Linked DNA regions of Struthio camelus. The protein of the gene in region 1 interacts with the protein of each later gene in a pairwise test. Links are inferred from orthologs where the notes say so. Each region holds a gene or a part of one and is shown in the gene's direction. Other genes may lie near its edges.

Region 1 (7,988 bases):
CTGCTTTGGGATGCAGTTTTGCCAGATCATCTGCCTCAGACTGAGTCAAGAGTCTAATAGAAACGAAAACATCCTATAATGTACACATGTAACCTGCGTTAAGAATTTACCCTTTGTGATTTATTACTTCACATTTTTCAATTCTTTGTTGTCTTTCTTTGATTAGAGAGAGTTTTCTCTGGATATTTCGGGGGGGGGGGAGGGGGGGAGGGAGGTTTGTTTGCATTGCCAGTGTGAATTTTAACTTCCACGTCTGGATAGCTTTTATCAGCTGTGCCGATATACTGAGTAAAGAGAATGAAATGGTTCTTCAGAAGCATGAGGTAGTAAAGGTCTGATTTTAAAGGTGTTGAGCACTCACCTTTTCTATGGATTTTAGTGGTATTTACAAGAGCTCATCATGTCTAGAAATCTTTCCAAAAATTACTTCCAGTAAATTTGAACTGATTAATACTAGGACTGCATGCAAACAACAGTAATAGAAGTAGTATAAGCATCTGTTTGAACAAAAGCAATTATATTTAACTGTATCAACAGATTGATGTGAAAACTGTAGACGCGGTCACCTGAAATACTTTACAACGTGTAACAGCATCTTCCATAGAATCATAGAATAATTCAGGTTGGAAGGGACCTCGGGAGGTCTCTAGTCCAATCTCCTGCTCAAAGCAAGATCAGCTACGAGATCAGGCCGGGTTGTTGAGAGCTTTATCGAGTTTGGTCTTGAGAACCTCCACGGATGGCTGGTTTTATTTTGTGCTCTGCTAAGATTGTAACTTAAAGTGTATGTATTGTTGTCTCTTCCCTCTACCAACTAACTTGTTTATATATAAAAATACTCGTTACTCATATTAAATGATTTGAAAAGCTAGCTTCTTCAAGAAGTTTCAGTTACCTAACCATGCTCAGTTCAAGTTTTGAAGCATATTCTCTGTCTAATCTCTTGGTGTGTAAATAACACCATTAGTCTATTAATTGTTCTAATAAACACTGAGATGACTGTTAAATCTGCTAATAAGTATTAGGATGATGTAGGGAAAAGGATTTCTTAACAGATATAGATGCTTTCTACTTCTAGCAGGAACCAAGGCATTGAAGTGCATTTATAGATGGAAGTAAAGCTGTGTGCTCATCCTATAATGTATGTTGAACGTTTGGACCAACATAGTTACATACAGCAGGAACTAGGAAGTACGTCATAGTAAGTATGAGGTTAAATTATTCTGTAAATTATGAGGTTAAATTATTCTGTAAATTATTCTGTATTGCAGAATAATGTAGTGCACCATCTTTTTTCTTTTTTCCTAATCACCAATTAGTATTTTTAATTTGGTATTTTTCCACCAGTCTTTCTGAAAGTGCCCTCAGGAAATCTTAGCGTCTCTTCCATATATCGTGAGCTCTGATAAATACAGATCTGATAAACCCAACACCTTAAACTGTGTTTATAAAGCCTGTGTTTACTCTCACTTATGAATGACCATGCTCATTGCAATTAGAATAGTTATGTAAGTGCTACCTGCACCTTTGCAAGGGTCTGATCAAAAAGATGCCACTTCCACATGCATGTGGAAGCGAACATTAAAATTATCGAGGCGCTCAATGAGAACATCTTTTATTTTCTAGCGTGATTTCACTGACCTTATTTTACATTTATAGTATACTCTCTATAGCTATGTATTAAATTGAAAATAAGACTGTAGTAGCTAGTTTGATCTCCAAATCTAGTAAACATTTATTTTTACGCTGGTTAGAATATTTGGCCTAGATATGTGGACAGCGTAACTTTCGTTTCAGTACTATTTGACCTAAGAGTCAGGACTTTCTGCAAAGGTGGCTACTCCATAGGTTTCTACAATGTTAAAGCTTTGGAGAACACTTCTGTGTATTCTTAACACTGCAGGCATATATGAGGATGAGTTATTTCAGTGTAGCATATGCTCAACCATGATCACGGGAGAATGAATAATTTTTTTCCCCCCACAAAGCCCTTCCAGCAATGGTCGGGCTAGACTTTACAAGGACTGCTCCAAAGCCTGAAAGATCTTGACTTCTTGAAATCTCTTCGTTTCTTCATAAGCCTTTCGTATCAAAGAGAATAGTTTTGTCTAATGAACAGAATCAGAAATATGTAACAGGCTATTTGCATCCAGGATTTAATCCAGTAAATGCCTATCTGTGTTAGTTGTTTGAGAGGATTCTTCAGAATGTATTTCCACTGAATTATGTGAGACTACTCATATATCTGAAAGCTGCCCAGCTGTATAAATATTTGCAAGATTGATAATAGGAATGTTCCGCGAATAGAATGGACAATGAAAGACATGCCAGTTGTTGAGAGAATAAAAGCGTGCATTGGACCGATTAAGGAGGAAATAATAAAATTCTTGTGCAAAGTTCAGTTAAATAAATGGAGGAAAAAACTGTTGTGGACTTGAATCAGGACCATGATTAAAAGGTTGTACAACAAATTCAGTAGACTTTCAGCCACATACATACCACAGAAATTCCTGTCTTAAGAAATACGTAGTTCCAAACGGCTTCATTTTAAAAAAAGACTTCTAAAATAAGTTATTTTAAAATTTAAAAAAGTCCAGTTTATTATGGGCCACGTAAGAAATCAGTAAAATATTTCCTTTCTCCTCCCTTTGTTGAAGCACAAGGAACTGATACCTATTGAAAGTTTTAAACTATTTTTATTAGAATGGATCCTTTGACAGATCAGTCCACTAAAAATACTTTCTACTGAAATACCCATTTTAGAAGCTAACTTTGAAGCATCCTGAATAGTACTCCTTTTAGCTTGCGTTTACAAGCTGTCTTCGCGTTACAGGAGACCCAAAAAGCGCTGCTTATCTTCCTTACCAAATGTTAATTACCCTTTTGTCATCAACCTGAGCCTTTAAATTACTTTATGGTCATGGATATTTTTAATTTTGAAAAATAGAAAGTTCTGTTTCAAAAAAGTGATCCATTTCCCTCCCCCCCCCCCATTACTGTGTCTTCATATGAAACTTCTTCGCTTCTTAACAGCATTTCTGTTCACCTAAATGTTAGTTCTGCAGAACGTTGAACTCTGTCTAGCTGCTACCCGTTTCCTCCTAAAAAACATTGGAGAGAAAGAACTTTAACTTTATTCCTTTCCTAAAAAATAGTGAGTTTAACAATATCTAAACGTTTTTGCAGGTTTTTACTCAGTGAAACTGAAGCTGTCAGCGTGTGATTTTTATTTAACAATATCTGAATCTTTTTGCAGGCTTTTACTCAGTGAAACTGAGGCTGTGTGTGTGTGTGTGTGTGTGTGTGTAAAAGGTGTTTTCTAAACTCAACAGCCTGTTTAATACATGACATTTTCAAATTATTTTTACAGCCTAATTTTTGTTAATTGTGGATGTGGAAAAATACCAGATATTTATGGAAACATTTCACTTGTACATCAACCCATGAAGTAGGGTGAATTTGTTTGTTTTTGTTGGGTTTTTTTAAAGAAACTATTTCCACGCTTTACTACTCCAATCTGGAGAACATTGCAGCGAATGAATGGTTTTGTTGACTTTGCTCTACTGAAGACTGCAGTTGGGCATATCTAAGCAATGGCCTCTAATGGAGGTGTTTAAAGTACCTGGAGAAGGAAATAGAGCATGCACTCTTTCTTTCTTCGCAGATATCATCTTTTTAAAGGGCCATGTGAAAATATTCATCTTTTTAATTTCTCTTTAATAGGTATCTGAGATTTGAATATGTAATGGGTTTTCTTGTCTCGTTTAGGAGTGAAGGAATCAGAAAACAATTCAATCCGTTGGAATCATGAGGACTTGTTGAGGGAGCCAGGCCATCCAGTAGTTCTCTTGTTCATAAATGTTGACCTCTCAAAAAATAGCACGAGGGCACTTCATGCAATTTGGGGTTTTTTGCACACAGAAGTCGTATTTCTTAAATGTGTAAGTGATTCTCTTTGGTCACACCTGAAGCCTTTCCATTTCAGATGCAGCCTGTCTTAAAGCATGTCCATCTTGACTGGTATTTTGTGCGAAAAAAACCTTTTAACTTTTTTTCTCGCAATGGTGCCAGAAAAAAAGAAAAATCTTTTTAAAAAGCCAGACTACGTGGTTTCCTGTTCTAGTGTAACGGGGTTCCCTGGACTCCTGCTCGCTCGCTCTCTCTCCCCACCTCCGTTCCTGGGGCACTTGGGATATAATGAGCTGGAGGGGTTCTTCCTTTCCAGTATCTCAAGCAACTGGCAACTTTAGGCTAGCGAGTGCCACTCAGACTGAACGAGTGCCACTCAGACTGAACGACAGTTCTGATCTCATTGATTGAGTTCCTTTGTGTCTCTAATAAGAAACATAATGAGGGTGCCTGGGGCCATTCTCCAGGGCTTGGTTTAGCTGCTAGATGTCCCTGTGCTGGACCTGGTACTGATCCAATCTGTACAACTTTTTCTTCCCCATCTTCTCCATGTGTGGGAGGGTCCAGAGGAGAAATCTGGCTCAACCAAACCCTGCTGTATCTCTCCGCTCCCCTTGCTGCTGCTGCGGTCATCTTGGAGAAAAGAAAGAAGTTTTAAGCTTGTCCCTTCCCCCCCACCGTGTATGTTGAGGGCCAGGGATGATGAAGACCAGCCAGCTCTTAAGCTCCTTGTAGTTCTCCAACAGCAATGGCGTAGTCAAGCAGTCATCCCTGTGCCTCCCTCACCTTTCTGTCCCACCCTGACCTGCGCCTGCCTGTTCTATTCTTTCATGATGTTGGTGCAACTCGTGACTCACACCCACGCACGCCAAGGGCTGCTGGAGCTCTTGGCCGATGCCCGTTCTTCCGACGCCCTCGACCCGGCCGCCCCCACTCGCTCGGTCAGGGCTGCGGCTCGCCAACCGCCTGAGCCGGCGGCAGGGGCTCGCGGGCGCCGCCGGGCGGCGGGCGGGGCGGGGCGCGACGAGCCCAGCCTCCCTCCCTCCCTCCCTCCCTCCCTCCCTCCCTCCCTCCGCGGCGGGGAGGGCCGCGAGGCGCCCTTCGCGCCGAGGCCGCAGTCCGCGGCGGGGAAGCCCCCGGCGGCTGCGCGCCGCTGCCCGCCTCGGCGGCCGCGCCCTTTGCCCGCGCTGCCTCTCGGGGCCGGCGCTGCCGGGGCGGAGCCGCTGGAACGCTGGGAGTGGTGACGTGTCGCTTAGGCGCCGCCCCCCCCGCCCAGCCTATATAAGGGGAGCCGCTCACGCCGTCGGTCTTTTTCGCTCCGGGTTTGCCGCCGCCGCCGTCGCCGCCTGGCAGGTGAGGCGCGCCCGCGCGGGGCAGGCCGGGGGGAGGGGGAGGGGCCGGCGGGGCCCCACGCGGCGGGCGAGCGAGCGAGCCGTCGCGCGCGCGGGGGGCCGCCGGGGAAGGGGGATCCGCGGGGTGAGGGGCGGGCGGCGCTGGGGAAGCGGTGGCGCGTCGCCTCCTCGTCGCCGCTGGGGCCTGCGGAGCGGCGTGGCCGGGCGCGCGCACGCGCTCTCGGAGGCGCGAGGCGCCCGCCGCTGCCCCGAGGGCCGTGGCGGCCGCTGGCTGCGAGGGGGTGGTCGCGGGCAGGGGAGGCGGCGTGGGGGAGCCGGGCCCGGGAGCGCGGGCGGCCGGGTGGTGCCCCGGGCTGGGCGGCGGTGGGGGGAGGGGAGGACGGGGTGCGCGGAGGAAAAAAAAAATGGCCGCTCGCTTTTCCTGCCGGCTGCGAACTTCACAAAATGGAGGACGCGGCGGCCCGGGCGGGGTGAGTCACACACAAAGGAGCGGGCCGGGCCCCGCCCTCCGCCGCTGCCCGTCAGCCGCCCGCGCCGCCGCCGCCGCCCTGCTCCCCGGCCGCCGGGGGGTAACTCGAGCCCCGGCCGCGGTGCGGGGAGAGGAGGGGAGGGGGGCGACGAGCTGGCCTCCGCCGAGGGGCCCCCGGCCTGCTCCCGCCCGCCGGCTCCTCCCCTCTCCCGGCGGGGCGGAGCCGCGGCCGCGAGGACGCCGCGCGTGCGCGCGCGGAGCCGCCATCACGGTCTGGTGCCCCCTTTCGACTGCTCCCCTGGGTGTCACCGAACGGGGCTGCGGTGGGGAAACCTGTGGTCGTGACTTCGTTTTTACTTCTTTGTTTGTTTGCTTGCTTTTTGGCTTTTAGGTGTCGATTCTCTTTTGCCGAAAGAAAGAGCTTAACTAAACATCCAAAATGGGAAAGGAGAAGACCCACATCAACATAGTCGTCATTGGCCACGTCGATTCTGGCAAGTCCACCACAACTGGCCACCTCATCTACAAGTGTGGTGGCATTGACAAGAGGACCATTGAGAAGTTCGAGAAGGAAGCTGCTGAGGTTTGTGGGCCTTCAACATCCAGCAGCACGTAAAGGGAGCGTGGGTGAACAAAGAGAAGTTCAGTCGCAAAACTAAGCTGATAAATTGCGAATGTACTGTTTTGCGGGCCGCTGGTTTGAAATTGTGCCCATAGTTGAAAAAGCAGTAGTGTTTGTATCTCTTGAATCTGCGCATTCTGTTAGTTGGCCCCCGCTCAAATTATTGATGCTGAAACGAGCAGAACAGAAGAACAAGTAGCATCTACATAACGACGGTAACGATAGTCTGGGATTGGAGCTAACGTGCAGTTCCCGTCTTAAGTCTTTGTGTGCGTTTAGTTGAGGATAAAATTAAAGCAGTTGTTATGATTGCTCTTATACCGGAAAATCCAGGAGTGCCTGCACTTCAGCACTGGAGCTTGTAGAATGCTAATCTTAAACAAATTATTCATCCTTTTTCTATGTAATATTGGAGATCAGGTCTTAGCAAACATTTTACACGTGAAACATACTAAAGCTAGTGTGAGAAGCAGTTTAGATGTTTGATTGTGGCGGGGATTGCATTACTAAGAAAAGAAAAATTTCTGAAGGACACTTGATAGGAGAGCTTAGCTTTACAAGGTTTAACTTGTAATGTGTTAGTACAGTTAACAAGCTGTCAAGAGTACTAAAAGTGTCAGCAGGTTAAATAACAAAACGAGTTGGCATCTGTCACTAGTAGTGCCAGATGAATCTAGGCCAGAGTTTTGTAAGCAACAACACTTACCAGTATAAGCTACTCTTATTTTTAGATTTTTGCCCTTTAGGTAGTGTCTCTCAGTTCGTGATTTTTCTGAACAAAATTAAGTACGTATTTCAAAAACACTGAATTTTTTTCTTAATCGATAGATGGGCAAAGGTTCCTTCAAATACGCCTGGGTCTTGGACAAGCTGAAAGCTGAACGTGAACGTGGTATTACTATTGATATTTCCCTGTGGAAATTTGAAACAAGCAAGTACTACGTCACCATCATTGACGCTCCTGGACACAGAGACTTCATTAAGAACATGATTACTGGAACTTCTCAGGTATGTAAATAGAACTAAGGATTTTAGGAGCTTGGGAGTGGGGTGTTTTTTTTGTTTGTGTGTATCTTAACACACAGACACGTATGTAAACTTCATAGTTGATGTTACTATTTTTTTCTTTCTTTCTTTCTTTCTTTTCAAAGGCTGATTGTGCTGTCCTGATTGTCGCTGCTGGTGTTGGTGAGTTCGAGGCTGGTATTTCCAAGAACGGGCAGACCCGTGAGCATGCCCTTCTGGCCTACACACTGGGTGTGAAACAGCTGATTGTTGGTGTTAACAAGATGGATTCCACCGAGCCACCTTACAGCCAGAAGAGATACGAAGAAATTGTTAAAGAAGTCAGCACTTACATCAAGAAAATTGGCTACAACCCAGACACTGTAGCTTTTGTGCCAATTTCTGGTTGGAACGGAGACAACATGTTGGAGCCTAGCTCTAACGTAGGTTTGACGTTTGTATTAAGAACTTAATTGATCCTCAGTAATCTTATTAGTTCATGTAATAGTAAAACATGCATATGTTTCGGTAGTTTAAGTTCAGTTTGTGGGTGCTGAGCTCAAAATCGGATCGTGCCACTCGACAAATTCTTAGTCTAGTCTTATGTCATCAAAACCAGCAGATAATTTAT
Region 2 (7,908 bases), on another chromosome or scaffold:
GGACAATTTGGGGACCCCGTGAGGGGGGTTTTTTCGGGGGGGGGGGCACCTTGTAGCGGTTGCCGTAGGTGAGGTCGAGCTCGGACTCCTCGGGGTTGAAGAACATGCCGGGCTTCTTGGTCATCATCTTGGTGTAGACGGCCTCGTCGGGCTGCACGCGCACCACCAGCTCGTTGCGCTTGCACTGCCGCTGGAAGATGTCGCCCGGCACGTCCCGAAACTGGAGCCGCACCTCCGCCTTGCGCTCGTTGAGGGCCTTGCCGCAGCGCAGCACGAAGGGCACCCCTGCGGCGGGGCCGGCGTCACCCTCGGGCGGCCCCCGGCCCGGCCCCGGCCCCGGCCCCGGCCCCGCTCACCGTCCCAGCGCTCGTTGGCCACGCGCAGCACGGCGGCGGCGAAGGTGGCCGTGGTGGAGCCGGGCGGCACGGTGGCGTCGTCCAGGTAGCCCCTGCGGGCTTCGCCCTCGCCCCGCGGGTCGCCCACGTACTGGCCCAGCACCACGTCCTCCGGCCGCACCTCCGCGATGCTCTTGAGCACCTTCACCTGGGCGAGGCGGCCGTCAGCCAGGCGCCCCCCCCCCCCCCCCCCTCGGGAACAGGCCTCCCAGCCCGCCGGCGCCGCTTCGCGACCGCCTGAAGGCCCGGAGGGTCGCCGAGAGCCTGGGGGCGGCGGCGGGGGGCGGCTCGGGAGCCCACCAGAGGCTGCGGGGCGGGGGGGGGGGGGGGCACCTTCTCGTCCCGCACGTCGTCGGGGTCGGTGGAGGCCGGCTTCTCCATGGCCACCAGGCAGAGCATCTGCAGCAGGTGGTTCTGCATCACGTCCCTGCGGCGAGACGCGCCGTTGGGGCAGGGGGGCCGGGGGGGGGGCACCGCCGCGGCCCCCCCGCCCGCCGCCCCCGCCGCTCGCTCACCGGATGATGCCGAAGTCGTCGAAGTAGCCGCCGCGGCCCTCGGTGCCGAAGGGCTCCTTGAAGGTGAGCACGACGCAGGCGATGTTGTCCCGGTTCCAGATGGGCCCGAAAATGCGGTTCCCGAACCTGGCGGCGGGTGGGTGGGTGGGTGGGTGGGGGCCGCCCGGACCCCCCTTCCCCCCCCCGCGGGGCGCCCGGCCCCCACCTGAGCACCATGAGGTTCTGCACCATCTCCTTGCCCAGGTAGTGGTCGATGCGGTAGATCTGGTCCTCGCGGAAGAGGCCGCTGATGTGGTCCGAGAGGGCGTTGGAGCTGGCCAGGTCGCGCCCGAAGGGTTTCTCCACGATCACCCGGTTCCAGCTGAGCGAGGCGGGGAGGAAATCGCGGCGCTTAGGGTCGCGGCGGCGCCGCCGGGACCCCCGGCCCCCGTCCCGCCGGCGGCTCACCCCGGCCCCATGCAGGCCTGGCGGATGTGGCGGGTGACGGGCTCGTAGACGCTGGGCGGCAGGGCCAGGTAGAAGAGGCGGTTGGCGCGGGCGCCGCCGGGCAGGGCCCGCAGGTGGGCGTCGAGGCGCTCGAAGGCGCCCGCCTCGCCGTACTGCCCCGCCACGTAGCTGTTGCGGGCGAAGAAGGCGTCGAGGCGGGGGCCGTCCTCCGGGGAGGCCTGCGGAAACGGGGTGGGGGGCATGTCAGCGGGGCGGCGGCGGCGCAGCGGGGGCGGCGCGGGGGCGGCGGCGGCGGCGGCACCTTGAGGTAGGGCTGGCTCTGCTGGCGGATCTGCGCCACGCTGAGCGGCGTGCGGGCGAAGCCCACCACGTAGGTGTCGTCCGGCAGCAGCCCGTCCCGGAAGAGCCACCTGCGGGAGGAGGACGGGCAGCGTCGGCCGCCGGCGGGGGCAGCGAGGGCACGAGCTCGGGGGCGGCGGCGGCGCGGGGGGGGGGCCCTACCAGACGGTGGGGTAGATCTTCTTCTTGGCCAGGTCGCCCTGCGGGGGAAACAAAGAGTCGCGGGGCTGAGACCGGCCACAACTCGGTCCCGCGATGGCCGGCCCCAGCCTTCCCCCCCCCCCACCCACCCCGCTCTCGTTAGCGAGGGGGATTAACGAAGCGCGGGGAATGTGCTGAGTCAGGGGTGGCGGCGGGGCAGGGGGGAGCAGGGACGGGACGGCGGGGACGGCGGTGTCCCCGCCCCGGCCGCCGCGGGGTTACACAACGCCTGGGGTAGGCGGAGCGGGGGAAGGGGGGGTGTTTAATTAAGGGGTGTTGGGTAACGAGGCGTCCGGGCGCGGCGGCCCGGCCCCACGTGGGAGCCCGGCCCCGGCACGCCGCCGCCGGCTGACGGGGAAGCGCAGGAAGCCGCTTATCTCCGGCAAACACCGATAGCAGGGGGGAATCCTCACCCCCCCCCCCACCGTGGGCCCAGGCGTCTGGGCAACCCCCCCCCTCCTCTCACCTCAGGGGACCCAGGCGTCCGGGCCCGCCTCCCCCCCCCCCCGCCATAGGGAAAACGAGCATCCCGGCAGCCCTGTCCCGTCCCACCGCCCTCAGGGGGCCCAGGCGTCCGGGCACCCTTGCTCACATCCCCCCCCCCAACCCAGGGGTCCAGGTGCCCCCCCCATGGGGCCCAGGTGTCGGGGCAACACCCCCCACCCCCCCGATACCCCGGGGTCCAGGTGCCCCCCCCACCCCCAACGGGGCCCAGGCGTCCGGACAACTCACCCCCCCCGATACCCCGGGGTCCAGGTGCCCCCCCCACCCCCAACGGGGCCCAGGCGTCCGGACAACTCACCCCCCCCGATACCCCGGGGTCCAGGTGCCCCCCCCACCCCCAACAGGGCCCAGGCGTCCGGACAACTCACCCCCCCCGATACCCCGGGGTACAGGTGCCCCCCCACCCCCAACAGGGCCCAGGCGTCCGGACAACTCACCCCCCCCGATACCCCGGGGTCCAGGTGCCCCCCCCACCCCCAACGGGGCCCAGGCGTCCGGACAACATCCCCCACCCTGATACCCCGGGGTCCAGGTGCCCCCCCCATGGGGCCCAGGCGTCCGGACAACATCCCCCCCCCCCCGATACCCCGGGGTCCAGGTGCCCCCCCCACCCCCAACGGGGCCCAGGCGTCCGGACAACATCCCCCACCCTGATACCCCGGGGTCCAGGTGCCCCCCCCATGGGGCCCAGGCGTCCGGACAACATCCCCCCCCCCCGATACCCCGGGGTCCAGGTGCCCCCCCCACCCCCAACGGGGCCCAGGCGTCCGGACAACCCACCCCCCAGTACCCTAGAGTCCAGGTGCCCCCCCCAATGGGGCCCAGGCATCCGGGCGAAACCCCCACCCCCCCCCGATACCCAGGGGTCCAGGTGCCCTCCCCCCTCCCTCCAGGGACCCAGGCGTCCGGGCACCCCCTTCCCGACGGGGCCCAGGCGTCCCGACACCCTTTCCCTCCCCCACAGAGAAGTCAGGCCACCAGGGCCCAGGCGTCCGGGGCCGGGACGCGATGCTCCATCTTCTTCCTCTTCCCCCCCCACCACCACGCCCCACACGTAGGGGACCCAGGCGTCCGGGCCGGGAGCAAGCCCCCGCCCCCGCCAGCCCCCCGGCTCACCGAGGCCCCGAGGATGACGAAGACGTGGGGGTCGCCCTGGAGGAAGGTGTCGTCCCGGCACAGCTCCTGCCGCAGCATCCCGCACACCTCCGACCGGCTCAGCTCCTGCCCCGCCATGAGCCCTGGGGGCGACGGCCAGGCGGGGCTGGGGGGGGGGGGCCGGCCGTCGCCGCCTCCTGCCCCACCTCCCGCCCCCTTCCCTCCCGCTATTGCCCCACGGCTGCCCCCCAACACCCCCGTTATTGCCCCAGCCCCCCCACTGCTTCCCCCTCTGGCCCCTGTAAACCCCCCACCCCCTCCCACTGCCCCCTAGACCCCCCAACTGCCCCAGACCCCCCCTTGCCGCCCCCAAATACCCCCTTTTACCCCCCAGCCCAGCTACCTGCTATTGCCCCTGACCCCCCCTTGCCCCTTCTCACCCCATTGCCACCCCCCCTTGTCACCCCCGCTCCCTATCACCCCCCATTTCCCCTAATCGCCCCCAACCCACCTGCCCCCGTTTTCCCTCATTGCCCCCCATTTCCCCCAATCGCTCCCCAGTTTCCCCTACCTGCCCCCATTGCCCCCAATTGCTCCCTATTTCCCCTCATTGCCCCCTATTTCCCCAATCACCCCCTATTTCCCCCGACTTCCCTCATCTGCCCCCCATTTCCCCCTATTGCCCCCCATTTCCCCCTATTGCCCCCCATTTCCCCAATCGCCCCCCAATTTCCCCCCTGCCCCTATTGCCCCTCATTGCCCCCCATTTTCCCCAATCACTCCTCATTTCCCCCCATTTCCAACTGCCCCCCCGCAATTACCCCCACCTGCTACCTCCTCCCCGCCCCCCGCCTCCCATCCCCCGCCTAATTACCCCTAATTGCCCCGCTAATTACGCCCCGCCCCGCCCCCACCTGCTCCCTCCGGCCGCGCCGCCGCCGCTCCCCTCACGCTCGCGCGGCTCCCCATTTTCCCCGCGCCGGCCCCGCCCCACCGGCCCCCCTCTCCCGCGCCGGCCAATCGCCGCGCCGCACCCCGCCGTGCCACCAATGGGAAGGGCCCGGAGGCGGGGCCTCGCTCACCGCCCCGCCCCGCCGGCCAATGGCAGGCCCCTCCACCGCCCCCACGCGGCGGGCTCTTGCGGGCGCAGCCAATGGGCGGCGTCGGGGGGCGGCCCGCGGCGTATCCCCCTCCCCCCCGCCATCCGCCGTGCGCCATGACACCTACCGAGGCGGAAGTGCTTCGGTGCGCTCCCGGCGGCGCTTCCGCTTCCGGCGGCGCTTTCGCTTCCGGCGTCACTTCCGCTTCCGGCAGAGGCCGGAAGGGCGGCCGGGCAGCGCGGCGCTCGCAGGCCCGGGCGGCCCTCGGCGCCCCCCGCCGCTCTCCCCTCGGCGCCCGGTGCCGGCAGGCGGGCGGATGAGCGGCGCCCGGTGGCGGCGGCCCGCGGACATGGTGCAGCCCGGCGGCGGCGGCGGCGGCGGCCCCGGGTCGGGGCCGGCGGCGGGGCCGGAGCCGGGAGCGGCGGCGGCGGCGGTGGAGGAGGAGGAGGCGGCGGCGGCGCCGGGCCGGGCCCCGCCGGAGCCGGGCAGCCCCGAGGGGCTCCAGCGCCTCCTGGCCGAGAACCGTGACCTCAAGGGTGAGGGGGGACCTGGGCCTCCGGGGGCGGCGGCGCTGGGGGCCCTGGGAAGTACTGAGGGGTGAAACTGGGCAGACTGGGAGGTACTAGGGAGCAAGACTGGGGGGCTGGACTAGGGGTACTGGGAGACACTGGGAGGTGAGTCGGGGGGGACTGGGAGCTGCGGGGGGGCTGGTCTGGGGGCACTGGGAGGCACTGGGGGGGTTAGACTGGGAGGAACTGGGGAACTGAACGGGGAAGCACTGGGGGGGTTAGACTGGGGGGACTGGGAGGTACTGGGGAGCTGGACTCGGGAGCACTGGGGGGGTTAGACTGGGGGGACTGGGAGCCGCTGGTGGGTGAATCTGGGGGGCTGGACTGGGAGGCTCTAGGATGCTGGGCTGGCACCCAGGGGTGCCAGGTCAGCGGGGCCGAGACCCCCGCTGACCCCCCCGCCGTGTACCCCCCTGCAGAGGCGCTGCGGCGGCGCTGGGGTGACTGGGGGGCGCTGGGGGGGGCCGAGGCCCCTGCTGACCCCCCCCGTGTGTCGTCCCCCCCCCCGCAGAGGCGCTGCGGCGGCGCTGGGGGGCGCTGGGGGGGCCGAGGCCCCGCTGACCCCCCCCCGTGTGTCCCCCCCCCCCGCAGAGGCGCTGGGGCGACTGGGGGGGCGCTGGGGGGGCCGAGCCCCCGCTGACCCCCCCCCGTGTGTCCCCCCCCCGCAGAGGCGCTGCGGCGCAGCAACGAGGCGCTGGGGGCGGCGCTGGGGTGACTGGGGGGCGCTGGGGGCGGCGCTGGGGTGACTGGGGGGCGCTGGAGGCGGTGCTGGGGGGGCCTCGGCCCCCGCTGACCCCCCCCCGTGTGTCCCCCCCCCGCAGAGGCGCTGCGGCGCAGCAACGAGGCGCTGGGGGCGGCGCTGGGGTGACTGGGGGGCGCTGGGGGTGGCGCTGGGGCGACGGGGGGGCGCTGGGGGCGGCGCTGGGGGGGCCTCGGCCCCCGCTGACCCCCCCCGTGTGTCCCCCCCCCCGCAGAGGCGCTGCGGCGCAGCAACGAGGCGCTGGGGGCGGCGCTGGGGTGACTGGGGGGCGCTGGGGGCGGCGCTGGGGTGACTGGGGGGCGCTGGGGGCGGCGCTGGGGGGCCGAGGCCCCCGCTGACCCCCCCCCGTGTCCCCCCCCCCCGCAGAGGCGCTGCAGCGGCGCTGGGGTGACTGGGGGGCGGCGCTGGGGTGACTGGGGGGCGCTGGGGCGGCGCTGGGGCGACTGGGGGGCGCTGGGGGCGGCGCTGGGGGGTGCTGGGGGGGCCTCGGCCCCCGCTGACCCCCCCCGTGTCCCCCCCCCGCAGAGGCGCTGCGGCGCAGCAACGAGGCGCTGCGGCGGCGCTGCGACGACTTCCGCCGCTGGCAGGCGGCGCAGCGGGACGAGCGCGACTTCCTGCTGGGCCGCTTCCGGCAGGCCCGGGCCCTGGTGGAGCGGCTGCGCGCCCGCCCCGCCGAGCCCCCCCCCGGCCCCCCCGAGGGGCAGCGGGAGCAGGAGGAGCAGCAGGAGGCGGCCGCCGCCGGGTGAGGCCGGGGGGCCGGGGGGGGGGGCACGCCGCCGGCCGGCCCCCTCCTCACCGCTCTCCCCCCGGCAGGAGCGCGGCGGAGCTGCTGCGGCGGCGCCTGGCGGCGGCCGAGGCCGAGTGAGTGGGGCGCCGGGGGGACGGGGCGGGGGGGGGGGACGCACGCGGCGGCCCCCCCCGACGCCCCCGCCCTGCCGCCCGCAGGCAGGCGGCCCTGCGGCAGGCGCTGGAGGCGGCGCGGGAGGCGCGGGCGCGGGCCGAGAGCCGGGCGCAGGAGGCGGCGCGGCAGGCCGAGCTGCAGCTGCAGGCGCTGCGGCGGCAGCTGGAGGTAGGTGACGCCCCGCCGCCGCGCCGGGTGACGCGACGCCGCCGCGCCGGGTGACGCCGCCGCGCCGGGTGACGCCCCCGCCGCGCCGGGTGACGCCCCCGCCGGGTGACGCCGCTGCGCCGGGTGACGCCGCCCTCCGCCCCCCCGCCGCAGCAGGACAAGGCGTCGGTGAAGGCGCAGGTGACCTCGCTGCTGGGCGAGCTGCAGGAGAGCCAGAGCCGCCTGGAGAGCAGCCGGCGGGAGCGGGGCGAGCTGGAGCACAGGTGGGGGCGCGCGGCCCGGCCCCCCCCCCGCCGGCCCCCCCCCCGGCCCCGGGGTGACGCTGTCGCCGGCAGGGCCCGGGCGGCGGGCGAGCGGTGCCGGGCGCTGGAGGAGGCGGCGGCCGCCCACAGCCTCCAGCTGGACCAGCTCCGGCTCCAGGTGCAGAACCTGGAGGCCGCCCTGCGGGTGGAGCGCCAGGGGGCCACCGAGGAGAAGTGAGTGACGCCGGGGGGGGGGCTGGGGACAGGCGGGGGGGGGGCGCCCGCCCGGCCCCCTCCTCACCCGCCCCGGCCCTCAGGCGCAAGCTGGTGCAGCTGCAGGTCGCCTACCACCACCTCTTCCAGGAGTACGACACCCACATCAAGGCCAGCCTGGGGGACGACAAGCGCACCCAGGTGGGCGCGGGGTCCCCACGGCGGCTCCCGAGCCCCCCTTTCGTCCCCTTGGGGACCCCAGGGTGGCTCCTGGTCCCCTTTCTGGTCCGCTCAGAGCTCTGGGTGGCACCAGGGTGGCTCCTGGTCCCATTCTGGTCTCCTTGAGGACCCCAGGGTGGTTCGTGGTCGTCTTGGGGACCTCAGGGTGGCTCGTGGCCCCCTTTCTGGTCTCCTTGAGGACCCCAGGGTGGTTCGTGGTCCTCTTGGGGACCTCAGGGT
Region 3 (7,143 bases), on another chromosome or scaffold:
TCCGTGGAAGTCCCCTCTTCTGGCCCATTGGTTCCAACCTAGAGCTGACCACGCTGGCTGCTGCCGAGCACCGCGGTAGCTGATCACGTGCCAGTGTGGCGTCAGCTCCAGCAGAGCTTCCATCTCAAGCCAAACGGGCTAAGGACTTGATACGGTACGTTAGCGCTGCAGCGCACTGCGTTGCTCCTCAGTTAGAGGAACGTCGCACTTGCACGCGGCCTATCCCCATCTTACTCAATGACTTAACTAATTTTGGATGCCCGCTCTGCAAGAGGCGGTACTGCTTCTGAAGTACAACTAACCCTAGAAGCAGCAAAGGAAACGTTAAGCTTCAGTTAATAGCTTTGAATTTACGAGAGAGCTTACATATTTGTAAGTCTGTGTTATGAAAGAATCACAGCAAAGCAAAGCTTAATGCAATTTCTTCCTGCTACTTCATTCAACCTGCACTACTGTTAAATCCAAAAGTGGTTCGAAACCTAGAAAACTACTTCCGGAGGATCCTGCTACTGATACAACTCTTCATGTAGTACTTCCTTATCTTCCTTAGCTTCATTCTCTATTTCCACCTGCTCTTACTCAAAACGTTTGTTTGGTAGCCATGAGGAGAGCAGCAGAATGAAATTTTTATATCCAACCACAGTAAACGAGCTGAACAGGCCCTCCTTTATCTGCAAGTATTCTTGGATAAAAGAACAGTGGCAGTAAACATACCAGTACTGTGAGTGATTCTGCATATCAAGAACTCGAGCACTTACATAGATAGATCTGCTCTGACAAAGTAATCGATCTGTTGGCAATGATTTAAAAAAAAAAAAAAAAAGGAAGCAGCAGCAGCAGCATTGTGCAAGATCGCAAATTACAATTCTTTAAGCACAGAATAGGACAAAAGGGAAGTTTTCTCAGCAGTTTAATATTTCTTAAAAATGCCGAAAACTGAAATAGGCATTAACAGTATAAACCCTAACTGCTCTATGAACATATGGAGAATAACACATAAATCAAAGTGAAAGCACTGGAATATAAAAACCCACAAGGTTACAATAGGTTGCATCAGAAACTGTCCTTTAACCAGTGCATTAAAACCACCCTTAAACAGTTGTAACGTCAGCTGATGCAAAACAACAGTTTCATCAACTGAGCCACTGAAAACGTGTTCCTTTTAGGAGAACTGTACCTAGGGAAAACAGCCACAGCTTGCTGAGTTCACTGTTCCTTTATCTTCACCTGCTCAGTTCATTGCATTTTTGCCTTTGAATAAAGCTAAAAAAAGGTGCAGAAATGTGTAAGTAAAAAGTTAAGTAATCTCACAGGGGCCAAGCAGCCTTGAGAAGAACTACCATGCATATACTGTTAGGATATGCTTTGACCTATCTACTTTGAACGTGGATTTTATTAACTACTGTGTATAATAATAACAATAAAAAGGTCTTTCCACGTGAAAGTTGTACTTAACAACTAAGTAAAAAAAAAAAAACTAAGTAACTTTAGTAAAAACTAAAAAACAAGCAAACTGCCTGTATTAAAAACATTCACAAGCAGTGAATGACAGAACGTGTTCACTTTAAAAGTGAGGCAAAACTGTAACTATATAATTTACTCCTACCAGGGAGCTAAAATAATTCACTGTAGCTACTCAGTAAGGCGAAGTAACTGAAGAACTGCAGTTTGCAACCACTTTCACCATTGTTCCACATACACCACTAACACCTGATCAATGCTACCTCATGACAAGTCAGAAATCCCTAAGAAATCCTTACTGAGAGCTAACTTGAAACAGATATTCCTGAGAGCCTGAAGAAAATCTGCATCTCCTCCTTTCAGAGCAGTTTCATTTCAAGACCTACGGCATGTTGTATGACTATGCAGAACACAGCAGCTACTTTTCCAAAAACCTGAACTTGAAAGGGGGATCATACACTACAAATCTTTTCTATACATGGTACAAATTAATGCCACTGACATGGATGTTTCAATACCTTTTAAAAACTGGTAACATTTACCTGCAATGAAAAACTTGCTGTTATGCTTTTAATGTTTCTCTCACCTTGTTAATACTACTACACGATGCGACGATAACAGAAAATAATTTCTTTCAAAAGAAAAAAAAATCACATATTAGCTAAACTACCTCAGGATGCAAAGAAAATTATAAGCAGTCAAATTATCAAGGGTACTGTCATAGGCTACCAACTCAGCTATAGTAATCAACTGCGCACGCGCTCTTATTCTGTTTTGCTTTATACTGTTTAAGCAACTATGCTGCACTTTTCATAGGAGTCAAACGTACTTTCCTTCACGACTATGAAGGACACGTCCACTATTATCATGGCTCAGCTGACAAGATGAGAATATGGCTGCTTGCAGTGGTCTGTCCACACTCCTTCTCCTATCCTTGTCTTGCAGATATGGAGATGGAAAACATGCAACTCTATCTAGGAAAAGTGACAACTGTTTTCCACTGTTATATTTTCGTCCACATCAAAGCGTTAACATAGTACAAATGCAAAACCTTCCATTACCTTTGGCCCCATGGTGACAGCTACAGCATCTGCTAGAAGATCTACTCCTTGAAGCATAAGAGCTCGGGCATCTGCTCCAAACTTAACATCTTTTGCATATGCTCGCGTTAGATGGGGGGCCAGTGCTCTGGACACTGGCCTTGTCCGACGGAGTAGTGTAGATAAACGAAGCATGTCTAAAAGATTAAAACACCACCACAGAAAGATATGAATACCGTGTCCTTTGCACGGCGACTTTTAGAATAAAAAGGGGAAAAAAAAACCTCCCAAAATTGAGGTAGTAAAGCAAGTGACCATGACCTTTCATTTTCCGATTGTTTCGAACGCAGACATACAATTACCTGAGGGTAAGAGAGCTCGGGCGCCCAGCTCCTCAAGAGGAGACCTCAGCTCCAGCAGCTCCTCATGGAGCAGCCTCCAGCACCTCTGAGCTCCTCCCGCCTCGCTTCTCCCGGCTGTCGGGCGGGAGATGGCCAGGGCGCTGTAGCACACAAGCCGTTCCGTTTGCCAGACGGATCCATCCCCTCAGGCAGCACCACTTCACCGGCAAACGGGGGCGGCCGCGCGCACCCGGGCGAGCGGGGCGCTTCAGGGTAGCGCCCTGACGGCGCGGCCCGGCGAGGCCCCAGCGCCCGACCCTGCCTCCCACGGGCAGCCCTTGCTCCGGGGCGAGAGGAGGAGAAGCAGCCGGGCGCGGCCGCGGCGGGCAGGAGAGGGCCGCCGGCCACGTGTCTCCTTCCATCAGGACACGCGCAGCAAGGTCAACAGCCGCTCGCCCCCTGCCGCCGGGCGGGCCGCGCTGCAGCGCCGCGGGGCCGCCTGGTCCGCCGCGACCCCCGGCCGAGCACGAGCACGGGCGCGGAGCGCCCCTCCCCCCGCCCCCCCCCCCCGCCGCCGCGGGGGGAAGCGCACGAGCCGCCGCAGGGCCCCGGGCTGGGCGCGCGCACGCGCTGGGCGCAGGCGCGCGGCCCCCGTCCGCAGCGCGCGCCGCTCTGAAGGCGGCCGCAGCGCCCCGCGTTCGAATCGCGAGAGCCGTTGCAGGCGGCGCGCGCCCCTAACGGCCGCAACCGCCGCAACGCCCAAAAGGCAGAGGGCAAGGGGCGAGGGGGCTGCGCACCCGACCCACTGGCATCCCCCCCGTCCCCGGGCAAGGCCGCTCCGCGCCAGGCCGAGCCCGGCCGGGCCCCGAGCAGGGGCAGCCCCACACGCTCACCTCTGTGCAAGGCGGGGGAGAGCGGCAGGCGGCTCCGCCGTCCGGACTCGAAGCGGAGCGGGCAGATCTGCGCGCGAGCCCGGGAAGGCGCTCAGCACTCACTAGCTCGGCCCCTCCCCCGGCCAGGCAGCCACCCATGTGGGGCTCCGCGCGGCCCAGCCCGGGAACCAGCATAGCCGCCGCGGCCCCGCCCCTGGCGCGGGCGCACGGCCGCAGCGCTGCGGCGCCGCCCGCCCTCCGCGCATGCGCCCTGGCGGCCCGGCATGAGCCACTCAGGTTCCGGGGCCCGCCAGTTCCAGAACCTTCTGGAACGCTCATGCTCGCCGCGGGTCAAAGGTGACGTGACCTCACTTCCGGGCCGGCGCGGGGCCCCGGGGCCCGGCGGGCCCCGTGCGGCGCGGGGCGCGGTGCCGTTGCAGCGGCGGCCGCCCTGCGCGGGGGCCGCGGGCCCGGCGGGGAAAAATAAACGGCGGAATCGCGGCTCGGGGGGGCGGAAGGGCTCCGCCTCGGGGCGGGCCGCGCGGGGTGGGGGGGAGGGTTGCCGCGCGCATGCGCAGGTGGTGACCTTTTTCACGTGTGCGCGGCGCAGGCCCGGGTCACTCGGTGGCGGGGAGCGCGGCGGCCGCCATGGTGAGTGAGTGCCCGCCCGGCCGCCCGCCCGCCGCGGGGGCTGCGAGGGGCCTGTGCTGCTGCCGCCGCTGCCTAGCAGCGGGCGGGGGGCCGCGGCTCTGCGCCGCCCGGGGGCCCTGCAGCGCCCGCCACTGCTGCGGGCGCCTCCCCGGGCCGGCGGCGGCGGCGGCGGCGGGGGGGGTGCGCGGCGCGGCGGCTCGGCTCGGCGGGCGCGGGGCCGTTTTGGGAGCCCGTTGGGAGCGCGGCAAGGGCAGCGCGCCCTTGGGGCGAGACGGGCCGCTCGGGAGCCCCGCGGGCGGGCGGGCGGGCGGGGTGCGGCGCGGCGGCCTGGCCCCCGAGCCTGGTGGCACAGAAGCCAGAAAGGCGCTTGGGGGTTCAGCGCCTGTGCTTGGCGAGCTTGTGCGGGTGGAGCTCGCCGCGAAGAGCAGCGGGGCAGGGGCAGGGGCGCCCTTACCGTGGAGCTGGAATTTTTTTCCTGTGTTCGCATTTTCTAATTCGGTGTAAAATATCCGTGTTCATAAGTCTAATTGCTTATTTCCCTTAAGCACAGGTCACTTGAAAAATAAATGAAGCTCAGAGCTGTTGTTTTCATAACTGGCAGCCTTTTCCATTTGTGCGGGTTTTTTTTTCTTCCACGTTGTAGTAGTAGCAAGTTTTTTTGGGGGGAGGGGGGAAATGGGGACAGCATCTTTTGTTTACTGGGCTTTGTGTTTGTCCTGCCTGTAACTTTTGAGGCATTCCTGATTTTTTTTAAAGCATGAGAGTGTATAACGATGGGTCTCGGGGAAGGGACCTTGGATGCTAGAACCTTCTCTGAGTGGGCTCTGGATACCTGTCTAGTGGAGCGCTATCTCCACGTGACTTGGCAAGTCTCCAGACCTTTGCTCTTCATCAAAGCATGTTCCTTATCCCTGACTCTGCACTTGCATTTAGTCTGTGAGAATGCAGCTACTGTTGCTGAAATGCAGCCAGTAGCAGCAGTAGGTAGTAGCAAAAAAGTTAACTCTTAAGCAGAGGTAGCTGTTGACTAGTTTCCTACATGAAGGAAAAGCAGCCAACACACAAATGTGCCTAGCTGCTTATTCTTGGGGGTTTACAAAAACCTTCACTTTTTTGCAAAGTTGTAGTCTATTTGTAGAACTCAGTAGAAAAAAACTACACTCTCACTTCAGACTTCAAACTTTAGAAGCTGTAAATTGTTATATGAAATGCTAAGCTTTGAAAATACCTGAAAAATACACACAGTACATGCTAGATTTTGCTTTTTTACTATTAAACGTTCCAGTACAGCCGATAAAAATGCCCCCAGAAAACTAGCCCGAGAGGTCCTTCATTAAATCTGGTTGTGACTCAATAAATACATTTCATATACTCATCAATAGTGATGCTAACTAAATTACAGGAGCACTAACGGTTTAGAATCGAGCAGCTTAAAAGCTGATGGAATTTTCCAGCCAAATGAGAAGGCAGCTCCATCTGGTGGTGATTTATGATGTTAGCTGGAGTACATCTTTGTATGGCTGAAATCTTAGGACTGCCCAGGGTGTGCCTGTTAATTCTGCTCAAGAGAGAATTGTTTCTAGGCTTGAGATACAGAACACCTGCGGTTCAACTTTGCTTGTTTCTTTAACTTTTTTTTTTTTGCTGCCATTAAAGGTTGCATATACTTGCCACTATTAAGAACAACTACCCAGCATCTTTCTTAAATTCTTGACTTCTCTTGGAAGATAAACCACTGTGAGGGTTTGAACTTTTTTATTGCCATTTTTTTTTTGTAGTGATCTTCCTGTTACAATATACAATTCCTTTCACAGGCAGGAAAGGCATTTAGGAAATTTCTTCCCCTCTTTGATCGTGTTCTGGTTGAACGATGTGCAGCTGAGACTGTAACCAAAGGAGGCATCATGATTCCAGAAAAAGCTCAAGGGAAAGTGCTACAAGCAACAGTAGTGGCAGTTGGATCGGGAGCCAAAGGAAAGGTAAATGGATCCAACTTTGGGTAGAGTTGGTAATGGTGTGGTGGTAGCTGGAAGCTTAACATAAAGGGATCGGTTGCTGTATAAATTTGGTTACACTTCATGACAACAAATGAGGATGATGAGATTCCTACCGCCTCTCTTGAGTCTGCACTTCAAACTTCACTCAAGTGTCCACCCTTTCCTCATTGGCTCTGACCTTGAATTCCAGCCTTCCTCTTGCTTCTAAAATGGGAAATAATGGCTTTTCAAAAATGAATGTTATTTATTGATATTTACAAGCAGCATTAAACAGTGGGAGGCTTTTTCAGTTTTGAATACTTAAACTATGATTTTCTGGGATGCCTTGTCTGATCACCTTTCAGGTGAAACGTATGGGATTGGCAGCTTTATTTCTTCAACTGCTGCTGATCGCATGCCTGAATTCCTGTAATTTGTGAGCAGGGTGGAATCCCAGAATGTGGTATTCTGTGTCTTAACGCGGTGCAAAATATCGTTGCCCGTAAGCATCAGTTAGGCTTACTGGACAAAAAGAAAATTGGGAATCAAAAATAACTGTTAGGTCAGTTTTCTTGAATTTTACGTGTTAAAAAAACAGGTCTAGGATCATAAAAAGGATAGTGACAGTCTTGACTTCGTTTCATAGTCTTAATCGGCCTGTGGGCTTCAACGTTTCAAGTTTTTTTCCCCACCAAAGAAAGTATCCATTTAGTAGTAATAGTGCGAAATGTGTTTAAAATTTAACTTGTGCATGTTGACTCAGACTCTTTCTTTACCTTGAGTCCTTCCATAGATACTGAGA
Region 4 (7,202 bases), on another chromosome or scaffold:
GAAACGTGGCAAAACTGCTTTTCTCCGCTTGCGAGGACATTCCCGCCGGGGTGCTGACGGCAGCGGGTGTCTCACGGGCCACTCCGCGGCTGAGCTCCTTAAAACTAGGATTTACTCCAGGGAGACGGCGAAAGGCTTTGCCGCTCGTTGCTCAACCCACCCACCCGTCTGCCCATCTCCCTTCCCTCCCTCCTGGGCTGCAGTTAAACGCTGAGATTTCGTGCTGGCGGGTCGCTTCTCCCTTTGGGCAAGAAAAATATCAAGGGCGATTTAAGCCCAGAGAATTTATCTTAGGTTCTGCTTGGGGGTTTAACGGAGATGGGTCCAAAATGAAATCCCGATTCCCGCCGGCGTCGGAGCGGCAGCGGCCTTGAGCCTTGCTGCCGGCAGGCAACATCGATCGCCGTGGCGTGGGCTGAACACCCACGGCAGGAGCAGCGCTTCGGGATAAGCCAACCGCGTTTTGTGCCTCTTGCCGGCCAAAATCGCCGCGCTTGGGCCGCCTCGGAGGCATTAACTCGGCTTCTCCTGGCTCGAGAGAGCATTTGCGGGTCGATTTGGAGCGCCGGGGCACGCGCTTCTCGAAATAAATGGCAGGCACAGCTCAATCTCCGGGGTGCCGAGCTGCCAGCTACCTGCTGATGGATGGGTGCAGCCCACCGCGGAGCAGCAGCAGGATTTCGGGCAGGGCTTTGCAGGGCTTTAGAGGATGCGGCTGAAGCCGACGTGCTCCAGAGATCGCTGTTAGGCGCCCGAGGTGCTCGCTGCAGTTTGGCAGGCGCGGGGAGGGGGGAAGCCGAGGCAGGGAGCTTTCAAACGCAAGGCTTTGCGACAAGCACCCGCTTTGGCTTGGTTTGGATTTGCCCTCCTGGATGAACCCCAAGCTGGGGGGGGGAGATGGGTCTGCTGGGAGATGTGGTCTTTTCCCAGCTACGCGGAGCCGTTTCCGCCTCGCCAGCCCTCCGCCGCCGGCCAAAACGCTGCCGGCGGCTTCATCCATCCCATCCCCGTCCCAGGCGCCCCATCCCTCCTCCGTCCGGGATCAACCCAGGGATCTTCCCACGCTCTTCTCCCGCGCCGGAGAGCAGCCCCGGCGCCCGGCTGGGTGCCACCGGCGGGGCGAGTCCCGGCCCGAGGCAGACCCCGGCGGCGGTACCTTGTGGCTGGCGGGGTGGCACTCGTCGCCCGCCTGTCCCAGCGGCGTGCACATCCGCAGGCCCCGGAGCCAGAGGCTGACGGCGCAGCAGGTCCCGCTCCCGCACTGCAGGTCCCGCTCGCAGGCCTGCGGAGAGGCAGAACAGCCGTCGCCCGCCGCCTTCCCCCCTCCGCCCGCCCCGCTCCGGAAACCCCCACCCAAGCTTTTTTGGAGTGCATTTTGGTCATCGGGGTTTGCATGTCTGCCCGTCCTGGGGGAAACTGAGGCACGGCAGGGGTATGTGCGACAGGCGGCTGGAAACACTGCCAGATTTCGCCATCATGCCCCAAAGCACCTAAAACTGAGCTGATGGGGCACCTCCAGCACCGGACCGGTGCTCACGGGGCTCGTTTTGCTCCCGGCACAGCGCTGGGGTTGCTCATGGCCCCTCAGGACCCCTTTTCCACCCCTGGATTTTCCCATTTCCTCGAGAGCCAGCTCTGACATGGCATTGAGAAAAAACAGACTTCGGAGTGACTTTATATTCAGGAACAATACGGACTTGCTGAAGGAAGAAAAGCGAAAGAGCGAGTAATAAACTCCTGCAAAAAAGCCCGAAGCAACCAGGGAAAGGTGTCGCTAACTTTTCCATCCCTTTTTCTTGGGAGCTCACTGCAAATAAGAGAGGTTAAAAGAGGCAGGGAGTTAATTCCACATCTCTGAACAGACAGTTTGACTTTCGGCAGCACTGGGGGACGAATTGCAGAGCGAGGTTAAAGCAACAGCTTGCCCCAGAAACAGAGCCCTCGGCTCTCAGCAGCATCGCTCACGGCTGGCACGGGCTTTTCCTGGTGTCGCCCCCCCTGGAATTTGGGACCAAACCGCCAATCGTTAATTCGCGTGCTGGTAAAATCACCGCGTCCCTTGCTTTAAAAATAATAATTAAAAAAAAAAAGACAGCTTTAAGGTAAAACATCAGAAATGAGGAGCATTTTGGGGAGAAAGAGAGGGACTCACAAATCACTGCTCCGCACTCGCCCGGGGCGGGGAGGGGGGAGGCCGGGGCCGGCTCCCGCGGTCGGGCGCAAACTCTGCCCGATTTCCAGGACGCGCGAAGCCCCCCAGGGCGGCGGGCCCCGACTCACCCCGGTGATGACAGCGCACCGCTGGAGCGGCGGCAGCAGCAGCAGCAGCAGCAGCAGCAGGCGGCAGGCGCCCTGCAGGACCCTCCTCATGGTGCCGAGGCGCTCGGCCGCGCACCCAGCTCCGCGAGCGCCCGTGCCTCGCGCCCTATATAACGCCCCTCCGTCTGCCCCGGATGCCAGTTGGGTATTTTTTTTTTTTTTCGGATGAGCTCAGAAGAAGCAGATGAGACCTGACTCGCTAACGGTAGGAAAGAAATATTAATAAATCACCCAAGCAGCAGGGGATAAAACATCACCAGTCACCTGGGCTTATTTTTCAGTTAAGCCAACACAACTGGATTTTTCAAGCATACTTATAGACACATACATTTATCCCTGCCTGACGTACTTAAGAATTCAACTAAGAATTTTTGACTATTCAGCCAAAGCCAAAGACGTGACAAAAAAAATGAGCCTGGGACTTCCCAGATCATGGTGCACAGCATGGAATAAAGTGGTGGCCTGTGATAAATACCCTGCCCTCCCGCAGCGGCCCGTGAAACTCAGGGTGGCTCTCTCAGCGCCTTCTCCTACCTGAAAAAAGGGGGTTTTGTTTAAAAAGAGCATCAAAATTTCCCCAGTGTTCGTGCAAAGGGTTAGAAACCCCTCCTTCCCGATGGACGCTGTGCCGTTGCAGCCCGGTGGCTTTTTGCGCTGATTTTTGTTCCTCGCTCTCCGTCCTCGGTGTTTCTCTTTGGCTTTTGTTCAGCAAAATCGTGTCGAATCAAGCTGAATGCAACCTGGGCTGCATTTCTGGTGGGAAAACTTTTTTCCCACGGTGGGAAAACCTTTTGCTGGCAAGGCCGCAGCAAGGTCCCCCCCTCACCTCCCTCAAGCCATTGGGTACCATCACCGCAGCATCCAGGCTGCCCGTGAGCATTAATGAATTCAGCCCCCTCTGTCCGTTCCCCAGGAGAAGCAAACCAGGAGAGGAAACTGAGTCACGTCAAGACCCACATTAAAATAAAAAGGGCTGCCAATAGGAGCCGCTTCATATTTAAGTGGGCGCCAGGCTGAGCGCCCACAAAACCTGAAGCGCTGAAAAAACAGCGGCTGCCATCGCCGATTTGGGGACGTGAATGAAATCCAGCCACCGGCCTCAGCAGCCCCGGGGTGACGCTCTGACCCCGAGGGGTTTATTCGGGCTTTTCTGCTGCCGGCAGAATTTCTCCTGGAGAGCCTCTCCGTGAGATGCTAAATTGTCTATATATTTAATTAGCTGGCACACTAAAAATAGCCGGGCAATTTTCTCCGCTGGCGAAGAGCGATTCTTCTGAAGCGGCAGCTGTTCTGACGGGTCCTACCGCTTCGGTAAGGTCTCGTCCACCCGCTCTTGGATTAATTACTCCCAACCCCCTAAATTGCCCCTGTTGAGCCAGAAACACTGAAGTCTCAGGGCAGGGAATGGCCTGAAACCTGCTGGTTTGGGCCCATTTCCTTGCAAAGGTCCCCGCGGGGCAGAGAAGACGCAGAGCCCGGTGGCTACGTGCCTTTTTGCTCCGCGTCGTTTCCCAAGGTGGAAACCCCCCGCCGCCTTGGGAAAGGCTAGGGCCAAAAGCGGGCTCCCGGCGAGCAGGGCCGCGCGGAGCCCGGCTGCCGCCGCCGGACCCCTTTGCAGCTCCCCCAGGAGAAAAATGGATATTTCTGGGCTTCGCCTCTCCCATCAATAACGTTTCAATTTTCCGCCCTGACAAGCCGAGAGGCAGCGAGCGGCGGCGGCCAAAGCGGCTCCAGCCGGTGCCTTATTAGCAATGCGGACGCGCTGGTTGTAAATCTTCCTCCTCCTCCTCCTCCTCCTCCTCGCCACCTGCGAGGCTGTGTTTTGGGAGGGCTCCCTTGCAAAAGCCCCAGATGCGGGCAGCACCAGCGCTCCCAGTTATCCCAGTGCTGCAGCCGCCAGCATCCGGATGGGAGATTTCTCCCTCTATCGTTTGTGCCCCCCCCCCAAAAAAAAAACCCACACTCATTATTTGGGGGGAAAAGGCTGTTCTGCCCTTTTTTAAGGGGGCTCCGAGCGGCTCCCTGAGCCCCCGCAGCGCATCCTCCCTCGGATGGTGGCTGGTCCCTGGCGTCGCGCAGGGCTCTGCCGGGAGGCTCTCGGCCCCGGAGGTGCCGGCCAGAGCGGGCGCGGTTTTGGGGGAGCCGCCGCCCCGCGCCGCCAGCGCAGCGAGTGCCGCCCGCGTTCGCGTAGCGACGCCTTTCGGCCCCGCGGAGCCGCCGTCCGCCAGCGCGCGTCACGTGAGCGACGCCGCCGCCAGGAGCGGCGGGGCAGGGCGGAAGCGGCGGGGCGCCATGGAGGGGAGCTTGGAGCAGCACCTGGAGGACACGTGCGCCGGGGGGGGGGGGAACCGGGGGAGGGGGATGTTTTGGGGAGGGGGAGGGGGGAGGGAGGCACCGGGGCTGCGCTGACCGCTCACCCACCGCCGTCTGCCCCCGCAGCATGAAGAGCCCGGCCGTCGTGGGCGTCCTGTGCACCGACTCGCAGGGCCTGAACCTGGGGTGTAAGTAGCGGAGCGCCCGTGTGGGGGCACCGGGCCCTGCCTCTCCCCCCCACCCCGGTTTGGGGGGGCACCGGGCCCTGCCTCCCCCTCCCCACCCCGGTTTGGGGGGCACCGGGCCCTGCCTCCCTCCCCACCCCGGTTTGGGGGGGGCACTGGGCCCTGCCTCTCCCCCCCACCCCGGTTTGGGGGCACCGGGCCCTGCCTCCCCCTCCCCACCCCGGTTTGGGGGGGGCACCGGGCCCTGCCTCCCCTCCCCACCCCGGTTTGGGGGCACCGGGCCCTGCCTCCCCTCCCCACCCCGGTTTGGGGGCATCGGGCCCTGCCTCCCCCTCCCCACCCCGGTTTGGGGGGGCATCGGGCCCTGCCTCCCCCTCCCCACCCCGGTTTGGGGGGGCACCGGGCCCTGCCTCCCCCTCCCACCCCGCTTTAGGGGGGGTACCGGGCCCTGCCTCCCCCTCCCACCCCGCTTTAGGGGGGGTACCGGGCCCTGCCTCCCTCCCCACCCCGGTTTGGGGGGGGCACTGGGCCCTGCCTCCCCCTCCCCACCCCGGTTTGGGGGCACCGGGCCCTGCCTCCCCCCCTCACCCCAATTTAGGGGCACCGGGCCCTGCCTCCCCCCTCCCCAGTTTGGGGGCAACAGGCCCTGCCCTGCTGGACCTCTCCCCCCCCCCCCCACCAATTTGGGGACATCGGGCCCAGTCCTGCCCCAGCTCCCCTCATTTGGGGTCACTCAGTCCTGCCAAAGCCCTCCCACCCAGGCCCTGCCCCACTGAAGTCTCCCCCCCCACACACACACATTTTGGGACATGAGGCCCAGGGAGGGCGGCAAAGGCGAAGGGCTGGAGCAGCCCCACAGCACCGTCACGGCGAGCGCGGCTTCACCCGGCCTCTCCGCCGTCCCGTAGGCCGAGGCACGCTCTCCGACGAGCACGCCGGCGTCATCTCCGTCCTCGCCCAGCAGGCAGCCAAGCTCACCTCCGACCCGACCGATACGCCCGTGGTGTGCCTGGAGTCGGACAGCGGGTGAGCGGCCGGGCCTGGCGCATCCGCCGCGCTGCTTTTCTCTCCCTTTGCCTTTCGCTTCAGCCTTGGAGACTTTCCTCCTCTCAAGCTGAACTGGCAGACACGGAGGAAGCCCCATCTCAGCCTAGATGCCGACACAGGCACATGAAAGCAGTAGTTTAATGGGATCTCCAGTAGCAGGAACTGGAGAAGCAGCAGGAAGCCTCTCAGAGGCTGGTGGCTACTCCAGCTCTATGCTTCTTCCCCACTTGGCATCTACATGGATAATTAAGCCCATCCTGTAGCCTCAGCCACTGTTTTTGCCAGTGTGGTAGGCAAAGGACAGGTCTAGCACACAGCTGGGGGTTGCTGCAGCCACGAAATGATACCGCTGTCTGCTTTCCCACCCGAGTCAGAGCTTCGTCATCACTGCAGCTGGCTTAACTGCCTCAAACATTACTTTTTTGTTGTCGGTTTTTTTGTTTTGTTTTGTTCTAGGAATATCATGATCCAGAAGCACGACAGCATCACTGTAGCAGTGCACAAGCTGGCATCCTGACCTCTCGGGAACCTGTGCAGCGCTCCCACCTCCAAACCAGCTCTTCCTCACTGGACAACCACTCTCCTCTGCTGCTCCAATGCAGAACGTGCTTGTAGGAACCAAATCTGGCCTGAAGGCTCTTCCTCTTTACTTAACAGCTCCTGTGCAGCTATCGGGTTCTTCAACTCGCATTCTAGCGGTCATGCTGCCAAGAATGAAATGTGGGTCACCGGCCAAGCTTGTGTAATGATCAGACAATACGAGGTGTGCGCGTGTGTGTGTGTGGCCTTATTTGTTAGAGAAATCAATAAATGACCTGCAAAAACCTGCATTTGCTTCTCTCTGCTCCTGCTGCAAAAACTGTTGCCTCTTGGTCTGACAGAAGTCAGGGAGCTGTTTCCAGAGCCAGGTGAGGTAGCTCCTCCAAACCCTTCTTCCTCAGCATTTCTCTAGATAAATGGAGCAGTGCATAAAGAGTTGAATTAAGGGAGGCTCCTCCAGTGGAAAAGGCACAAAAACTTTCCTAGGAATTTTTTTCTAGGAAATGTTTAGCCTCCTCTGGTTAAACTTCCTGCATGAAGGTTACTTGCTTACCATGCCTTGGATTGAAGTTCAAACTGAAACTTGTTTGCCCTGGCTGTGCTGCCTGCCCCCGCTCTGCGTGAACTGGATGTTGATTACACCTTCACCAATCCAGGCCAGTTTTCACCTTACAGATTCAAGCATTTCAAATGCTGCTGGGAACCAATCCTGCAGGAAGCCTTTGCCCCTTGCAGTACTGGTAAACTCAAATTCTGCCTATGTATTTAAGAGAGGGAAACAGAGATTACAGCTTTAAG

Evidence for each region.
Region 2: the proteins of EEF1A1 (region 1) and IKBKG interact in a two-hybrid assay, tested with the Homo sapiens proteins (2 studies listed by BioGRID and IntAct, with this or other methods). The link is inferred for Struthio camelus from reciprocal best matches to the Homo sapiens genes EEF1A1 and IKBKG.
Region 3: the proteins of EEF1A1 (region 1) and HSPE1 interact in a two-hybrid assay, tested with the Homo sapiens proteins (2 studies listed by BioGRID and IntAct, with this or other methods). The link is inferred for Struthio camelus from reciprocal best matches to the Homo sapiens genes EEF1A1 and HSPE1.
Region 4: the proteins of EEF1A1 (region 1) and LAMTOR5 interact in a two-hybrid assay, tested with the Homo sapiens proteins (2 studies listed by BioGRID and IntAct). The link is inferred for Struthio camelus from reciprocal best matches to the Homo sapiens genes EEF1A1 and LAMTOR5.

What each region holds. Positions count from the first base shown.
Region 1 is NC_090944.1:42,400,602-42,408,589, reverse strand, and holds the start of EEF1A1 (elongation factor 1-alpha 1), read left to right. Parts: upstream 1-4,978; 5' UTR 4,979-5,262; intron 5,263-6,121; 5' UTR 6,122-6,169; coding exon 6,170-6,313; intron 6,314-7,180; coding exon 7,181-7,360; intron 7,361-7,503; coding exon 7,504-7,800; intron 7,801-7,988. UniProt on the Homo sapiens protein: Translation elongation factor that catalyzes the GTP-dependent binding of aminoacyl-tRNA (aa-tRNA) to the A-site of ribosomes during the elongation phase of protein synthesis.
Region 2 is NC_090979.1:45,532-53,439, reverse strand, and holds the start of IKBKG (NF-kappa-B essential modulator), read left to right. Parts: upstream 1-4,897; 5' UTR 4,898-4,912; coding exon 4,913-5,132; intron 5,133-6,450; coding exon 6,451-6,667; intron 6,668-6,738; coding exon 6,739-6,786; intron 6,787-6,870; coding exon 6,871-6,994; intron 6,995-7,147; coding exon 7,148-7,257; intron 7,258-7,329; coding exon 7,330-7,470; intron 7,471-7,553; coding exon 7,554-7,650; intron 7,651-7,908. Other genes in the region: G6PD (glucose-6-phosphate 1-dehydrogenase), read right to left, coding at 50-285, 357-543, 729-822, 911-1,036, 1,116-1,271, 1,358-1,575, 1,659-1,767, 1,859-1,896 and 2 more. UniProt on the Homo sapiens protein: Regulatory subunit of the IKK core complex which phosphorylates inhibitors of NF-kappa-B thus leading to the dissociation of the inhibitor/NF-kappa-B complex and ultimately the degradation of the inhibitor.
Region 3 is NC_090947.1:11,797,979-11,805,121, reverse strand, and holds the start of HSPE1 (10 kDa heat shock protein, mitochondrial), read left to right. Parts: upstream 1-4,134; 5' UTR 4,135-4,362; coding exon 4,363-4,365; intron 4,366-6,179; coding exon 6,180-6,344; intron 6,345-7,143. Other genes in the region: HSPD1 (60 kDa heat shock protein, mitochondrial), read right to left, coding at 2,523-2,696. UniProt on the Homo sapiens protein: Co-chaperonin implicated in mitochondrial protein import and macromolecular assembly. Together with Hsp60, facilitates the correct folding of imported proteins.
Region 4 is NC_090965.1:4,483,355-4,490,556, reverse strand, and holds LAMTOR5 (ragulator complex protein LAMTOR5), read left to right. Parts: upstream 1-4,510; 5' UTR 4,511-4,611; coding exon 4,612-4,646; intron 4,647-4,758; coding exon 4,759-4,820; intron 4,821-5,725; coding exon 5,726-5,843; intron 5,844-6,320; coding exon 6,321-6,381; 3' UTR 6,382-6,694; downstream 6,695-7,202. Other genes in the region: PROK1 (prokineticin-1), read right to left, coding at 1,157-1,282, 2,281-2,370. UniProt on the Homo sapiens protein: As part of the Ragulator complex it is involved in amino acid sensing and activation of mTORC1, a signaling complex promoting cell growth in response to growth factors, energy levels, and amino acids.